Daphnia pulex: one gene and its partner. The protein of the gene in region 1 purifies or fractionates together with the protein of each later gene. This does not show direct contact. Links are inferred from orthologs where the notes say so. Each region holds a gene or a part of one and is shown on either strand. Other genes may lie near its edges.

Region 1 (4,031 bases):
TAAAAGATAGAAGATTAGAAATGACCTGTTTAGCTGTTATTCGTGATTGGGGGCAATAGCGAAGAAATTGTTCCAGCATCGTTCGTGATGATTCGTCTACATCAATCAGGATTTTCTTAAAGGAGATTTGTTTCCGAGTTTTGGTAAATGAAATTTTGTGGAAATCTGGCAATGCTGATACACCTGGCCAATTTTCTTCGTCTGGAGTGCCTAGTACTATGTAATTACCCACAAAAGAGTTAATGCCATTCACCTTGATTATGATTACCGTATTGTTAATGACCTTGAATGACTGTGCACAGTTGGCCAATGTCATTTTCTCCCTAGGGTTTGATGGAAATCCGGATACTGTTACAACATATTATATTGACAACATTGGCCATTATTTACCGGAAAAAGGGGAGAATTCTTCAACATTTCACCAAAGATACAGCCCATAGCCCATAGGTCGACTTCCGGTCCTGTTGTGAAAAAGGTGTTAGAATTAACATGGCATTTTTAAATTAAAATGAAACTTGCCATAGTTGCGAGAACCATAGAGCAGTTCCGGTGCTCTGTACCACCGCGAAGCCACCTGATGTGTGAATAATCTTTGAGCCTTTTCGGAATGATTGAACGTACGACACAATCCGAAATCGGTCACTTTCAGTTCGCCTCGGGAACCAATCAGCAAATTGGCCGGCTTCAAATCCCGATGCATAATACCCAAACTATGAATATATTCCACAGCGCTGGCTAGCATCCACATGTCTAAATGGAAAGGATTGCATATTGGTTATTTGAATGCCTAAAATCTGATTGTAGAGATGTAAATATGGTACAGCTTTTCACGTGACTCGTCGGCAAAGGTTTGGAGTTGGAGCGCAAAAATTCGTAGAGATCTATTGGTAAATATTCAAAGACCAACACAAGCGAATATCCTTGTGGGAAATAGTCCACTAGGTTCACTACATATTCATGGCGGATCAGGCGAAGAGCCAGCAATTCACGAACAGCCGAGTTCGGCAATCCCTGCTCGTTAATGTTCTTCAACGCTATCCGTTTCATGGCGACCAGTTTCATTGTGGACTTGTCAATACCTTTAAGAACGATCCCGTGTGCCCCTTCCCCAATCCTGCCGTTCACAATATATCTTTCCATGAGATCGTTTAAAAAAACTAATCGCAACAAATATTTTTAAACAACAAATTGGTTGCCTTGACTACGCGCCATCTATTGGTAACCATTATCGACACGTGAAAAGGAAAATTAGTCTGCTAGAAATTTGAAGAAGAACAAGTGGCAAGCAACTTTATGTGCATGTTGTTGTAAACTTTCTCGTACAAAAATGAAGTAAATCCCGCACTTTTGTCAATTCAGAGACCACATTTAATTTATTTACATGTTCATAGATTAAATGTTGATGGACTCCTCGTCTACTTCCCTTACGATTACATATACCCGGAGCAGTTTTCATACATGCTCGAACTGAAACATGCTCTCGATGCAAAAGTATGTTGTATCGTCCAATACTAGTATAACTTGAAATTACATAAATATCTGTTGATGTTGGATCAATTCAGGGTCACTGTTTATTGGAAATGCCTTCTGGAACGGGGAAGACAACAACATTGCTATCATTAATTGTGGCCTACATGAAGGCTCACCCCCTTGATTTAACCAAACTAGTCTACTGTTCAAGAACTGTTCCTGAAATTGAAAAGGTTATGGAAGAATTGCGAAAATTAATGAATTACTACGAAAAAGAGATGGGCATGGAACAAAACATTCTTGGCTTGGCACTTAGCTCCAGAAAGAATCTCTGCATTCACCCCTCAGTAATATGAATTAAATAGTAAAAAGATTTAAAAGTATGGTTAATCAACAACACAATTACATAACAGGTCAGTAAGGAGAGAGAAGGAAAAGTAGTCGACGGGCGCTGTTACGGTCTCACGGCATCGTTTGTAAGAGCTCGTCATGCAGGTGATGACGCTGTGCCAGTATGCAACTTTTATGAAGGATTCGATGCTCATGGAAAAGAATTTCCGCTGCCTCCTGGGGTGTACAACCTGGACGATTTAAAGGAATATGGACAGGCCAAAGGATGGTGTCCTTATTTTCTTGCCCGATACACCGTTAGATCATGACATTTATAAAATATTGTACAACCAAATTAATACCAAATTTAAATTATAGATAACTCACGCCAACATTGTGGTGTACAGCTATCATTACTTACTTGATCCCAAGATTGCAGAAGTCGTTTCCAAGGAAATTTCAAAAACTAGCGTCGTTGTCTTTGATGAAGCCCACAATATTGGTAATTTTACTGAAACGTAACCTCTTAAAATTGCCCTACTAATTAAATATTGGTTTTTCTAGATAATGTCTGTATAGATTCGATGAGCGTCAAGATAACGAAACGTCTGCTGGATAAATGCTCCAATAGCATTCAAATTCTGGAAACCACCATTTCAAAGTAATCACAACTGGATGTGCATGATTAATTTCAGAGTTGTTAACTTTTTTAACTCTTTAGCATGAAAGAAAATGACAACAGAAGGTTGGAGAAGGAATACCAAAGGCTAGTTGAAGGATTGCGAGATGCTAACATAGCGAGAGAAACTGACATGGCTTTAGTTAACCCGGTTTTACCTTCTGAAATTTTAGAAGGTCTGTATTTATTCACAAGTATCCGTTCGGGCCATTTTAACATTTCTTTCATTTATAGAGGCCGTCCCTGGAACGATCCGTACTGCTGAGCACTTCGTGGCCTTTTTGAAGCGAGTAGTAGAGTACATCAAAACTCGACTCCGCGTCCAGCACGTCGTTCAAGAGAGTCCCGCCGGTTTCTTGAGAGATATTCACATTAAAGTGTGTATCGATAGGAAACCTCTAAGGTATATAAAAATACAGTTTCACACGCACAAATTATTATTTTACCTATTTTGTTGATAAACTTTCCAGATTCACCGCAGAGCGTTTATCTTCACTCATTCGCACTCTTGAAATATCCGACCTGACGGATTTCTCACCTCTTGTAACCGTTTCTCACTTTGCTACATTGGTCTCGACATATACTAAAGGGTTAATATCTTTATTTACAGTGATAAAATGGTGAAAAAATATCTAAAAGTAATTTACTATTTTAGATTCACCATCATCATTGAACCGTTTGAAGATCGGGCACCTACAGTTTCCAACCCAATTTTATATTTCAGGTATGTGAATATAGAACACGCAAAGACCAACAGTGATTAATGCTAGTACATTTTACAGCTGTTTAGATTCATCTATTGCCATCAAACCAGTTTTCAATCGTTTCCAAACTGTCGTCATCACCTCAGGAACCCTTTCACCGCTTGATATGTATCCGAAAATCCTCGACTTCCATCCAGTCATAATGACCTCATTTACTATGACTTTGGCGAGACCCTGTATTCTGCCAATGGTAGTAGATGCCTCATTTTTCATAAATGTTAACGTAACACTAAAATTCTTATTTTAAGTATAGATCGTATCGAAAGGTAACGACCAGGTCGCCATGTCATCGCGATACGAAACTCGTGAGGACACCGCCGTTATTCGCAACTACGGAAATTTGTTGGTTGAAGTAGCGGCCGCTGTACCCGATGGGATTGTTTGCTTCTTCACCAGCTACCTATACCTGGAAACAATTGTGTCGTCTTGGTACGATCAGGGCATTATCGATCAATTGCAAAGACACAAGCTCCTCTTTATCGAAACCCAAGACGCAGCAGAAACGAGTTTGGCGCTGATTAACTACATCAAAGTACGTTTCGTTTCTAAAAGTAATTAATTCCTCTAGTCTAAAGATTTTCGTTTAATCTGAATCGATCTGTTTAATCGAGTGAAGGCTTGTGATAATGGACGAGGAGCTGTACTACTTTCAGTCGCACGGGGTAAAGTCTCTGAAGGAATTGATTTTGACCACCATCTTGGACGGTATGAAAAATAATAGGAAAACAAAAGATTCTGACTATATTGACCATTTCTTTTACCGATTCATGTAGCGCCGTGTTAATGTT
Region 2 (2,965 bases), on another chromosome or scaffold:
TAATGTCGTACCACTCCAAAGTGGTTTTGTTACTACACTCGACGTGCGTGGTTCTGTCTCTTTTGATTTTGGTGGCGAAATCCAAATCAGTATTTGGAACAGAAATTCTCATTCAGTTGTCGAAGATATGTAAGTCAATTTACAGACTGGATTTCTGATCATAATGATAAAACTCATATTTTCATTTCAGCGCTGCATGGGAGCTAGAGGGGTCATTAAATTTAAACACGCCGTTTGTTAAATCATCTGTTGATTTCACTGTGGGTGCTGAATCTCGGGTCGATTTCGTCAATGATGTTAGCTTTGCTAACGGAATTCTTTTATGCTTGCGTATGGGCCAAGCTGAATTCAACATAGAGTGAGTGTCACAATTATTTTTTCAGCGTCGAACTAACTTAACATCCCTGTGTTGTTTAGTTACACTGTGCAGAAGCGCGAAAGCATTCCGGGAACTAAGCACTGGATTCACAAAAAGAAGAAACGCCAAGATTTCGTCCCAGGTCGCACGTTCAAACTGAATGACCAGAATTCTGGCTTCTGCAATGAAATGTTCCCTGCAGTTGAGAGTACTGGATCATCTTATTTTTAAAAGCAATGTGTTTTTCTTTTTGTTTTTAGGTAAATATTTTAAATGACATAATTGGGGTCCAAAGATGCTCAAATGAAGCAAAGTGGTTTAAAGTAGTTTACAACTTTCATGGTTCTAATTGAATGTAAATGAACAGGGACAATGTAAAGTAATTGTCACTGAATAGATTTGAATGTGTTCCATCAAAATAAACTGCATTTTCATCCATAATGTATTGATCAAATGGTTATTATTCCAAACTTTTTACTAAGCATTGATTAACAACTTCAAGTAGATTGCTGTTTTCCAAAGCGGCTGAGACTCTTTCTTTGTCAGCTAGCTGTTTATTAACAGCTTCCTCTGAAGCATGTGAACCTGGGGAAATGTTTACTTCAACTTTGAACCTAGGTGGTAGAGACCTGAGAAGACACACTTTGATGGACAGTCCTATTAAAGTTGCCATGCTGCAATGAGGGATTGTTGGAGTGTAAAAGACTTTAACACTGCTTTTTTTGTCATCAACCTGTACATACATAAAGGAAATAGAGGTAATGATTTTGTGTGAAATCAGACATTTCATATTTTACTTCTATATTCGTGATTTGTACAACATTCAGTTCTTCAAGTGACATAGGATGCTCAGGATCATTGATATCCCTTAGCAAATCTATAATTATGGAGAGATAAGCGAATTTGTTTAATGATGTATTACGCAAGTGCGAAAGTCTTTACCGAATATTTCCCTCTCATCTATGGGATCCTCTACTGATTCATCTTCTTCTTCACTTGTTATTTCTCTTTTTGTCTTCTTCGTAAATAACTGTGGATTCACATTTTCGATCCCTTTGGAAGTCATTCTTACAATTCAACACTTTGACAAGTTTATCCGACTAATAACGAACGCAATCGCGAAACGAATAACATGCGAATAACTACAAGTAAACAGAACTAGTAACGGCATCTAGCGATACCGATAAATGTTTAGTTGTGTGCGCGGCGGCGGCTGAGTGAACTATTGCGGAATCGGCAATATTTAAAACTAAATAACTTAATAACCATAAAACATATTGGCAAACGAATTTTACTAATTTAACTATTTTTGTAAACAAATTTTAGGACAACTCTGGTAGGTACTGTATTATTTCTTTTCTTGTTTAATTCCACCACCACGTTACAATTTTCTGCACTAGACGCTCCAGTTGTGTCAAGGCATTGATCTTTAGTTGACATGTTTTTCTTTTTTGGGCATTTTCGACAGGTAAATAGAGATTAAAATTGAATCTGCAGCCGGTTTTAAATTAAAAAATCTCTTATTATATTGATTTTCTTGTTTAGGAGAAACGTTTGCTCTCGGAGGTCATTCCCAATATTGCCAATACTGGAAAGTGTGGCGAAATGTCGTGAAATTTATTCACTATTCGTCGTCTACAGTTTGTTTTAATATTTTTGGACTTACTCAAACATGCCTTTTGTTGAGCCACAAATTGGTCATCATCCCGCCGTCAAAGATGTTGATTCGGCTGGACTTGCTAATGGAAGTGGACTGAATTCAAGCACCAAAGGCCTGAGTATACCCGACAGGGTAGCACTCCTCTACTACAAACATGGCCTTCTGTGTTCTAGCTACCCCTGGTGCACAATCATAGTGGCAATTATTATTGTTCTCACTTCGTGTCATCCTTTATTGTCCTTGCCTTTTCCAGGCAATGAACCAGAGGAGATATCTTTCCCGCTTCCAGAGAAAAGAATCTCTTCTGATCTTGAATTTGGAAAAAGCTTTCAGTATCCAACCAGATGGGGAACTCAGCAACCATCTTTTTTCATACAACAAATAGTTGTACGGTCCTCTGTCAATCCATGGACGTCTGATTTGGGCATGATGGATGCTTTTCGAGGCCCATTGAGTGAAGTCTTCAAGCTGCATTCTGATGTAGTGGGTTTCCATTCACCTAGGAGTAACCTGACTCTTAGAGATGTTTGCCTTTACGTGGAGAGTGTGGCCCCTAGAGCTCGTTCGTTTCAACATCTTCTACCCGAATTCAGCTGCATCATTTTGTCGCCGGCCAATTTGTGGAAGCTGGACGAAAATACCTTCCGCAACGACGCTCAGTTCTTAGACACCATATTTTCTTTCAAGAACCCAGTGGTAGAAGTGCGATCAAGTATGGCCGACATACTTTACGGCGTCCCGCTCAAAAATAGTGGATTGAAAAAATTCCCAGTCAAGACTCGTTCTCGCGTCCTTACGTACGCTATCACAATCTTACTTAAAACTCATTCTGAACCGTTTCTTTATGACTTGCGGTTAAAGCTCCGCAATCAATTTCCTCTCCACTCCACCACTCAAGAATCCACATCATCTCGACGCACCATCGTTCACATTTACTATCCCGAACG

Evidence for each region.
Region 2: the proteins of general transcription and DNA repair factor IIH helicase subunit XPD-like (region 1) and cytosolic iron-sulfur assembly component 2B-like purify together in Homo sapiens (affinity purification with western blotting; 3 studies listed by BioGRID and IntAct, with this or other methods). This does not show direct contact. The link is inferred for Daphnia pulex from reciprocal best matches to the Homo sapiens genes ERCC2 and CIAO2B.

The regions. Positions count from the first base shown.
Region 1 is NC_060017.1:8,164,268-8,168,298, forward strand, and holds the start of general transcription and DNA repair factor IIH helicase subunit XPD-like, read left to right. Parts: upstream 1-1,231; 5' UTR 1,232-1,327; coding exon 1,328-1,332; intron 1,333-1,391; coding exon 1,392-1,491; intron 1,492-1,562; coding exon 1,563-1,817; intron 1,818-1,883; coding exon 1,884-2,117; intron 2,118-2,178; coding exon 2,179-2,302; intron 2,303-2,364; coding exon 2,365-2,461; intron 2,462-2,521; coding exon 2,522-2,655; intron 2,656-2,713; coding exon 2,714-2,882; intron 2,883-2,949; coding exon 2,950-3,069; intron 3,070-3,134; coding exon 3,135-3,203; intron 3,204-3,261; coding exon 3,262-3,433; intron 3,434-3,496; coding exon 3,497-3,775; intron 3,776-3,859; coding exon 3,860-3,948; intron 3,949-4,016; coding exon 4,017-4,031. Other genes in the region: cyclin-dependent kinase 20-like, read right to left, coding at 26-216, 284-323, 391-461, 520-750, 822-1,140. UniProt on the Homo sapiens protein: ATP-dependent 5'-3' DNA helicase. Component of the general transcription and DNA repair factor IIH (TFIIH) core complex, not absolutely essential for minimal transcription in vitro.
Region 2 is NC_060019.1:10,900,156-10,903,120, reverse strand, and holds cytosolic iron-sulfur assembly component 2B-like, read right to left. Parts: upstream 1,547-2,965; 5' UTR 1,425-1,546; coding exon 1,301-1,424; intron 1,236-1,300; coding exon 1,156-1,235; intron 1,092-1,155; coding exon 819-1,091; 3' UTR 783-818; downstream 1-782. Other genes in the region: microsomal triglyceride transfer protein large subunit-like, read left to right, coding at 1-129, 191-358, 418-589; sterol regulatory element-binding protein cleavage-activating protein-like, read left to right, coding at 2,031-2,965.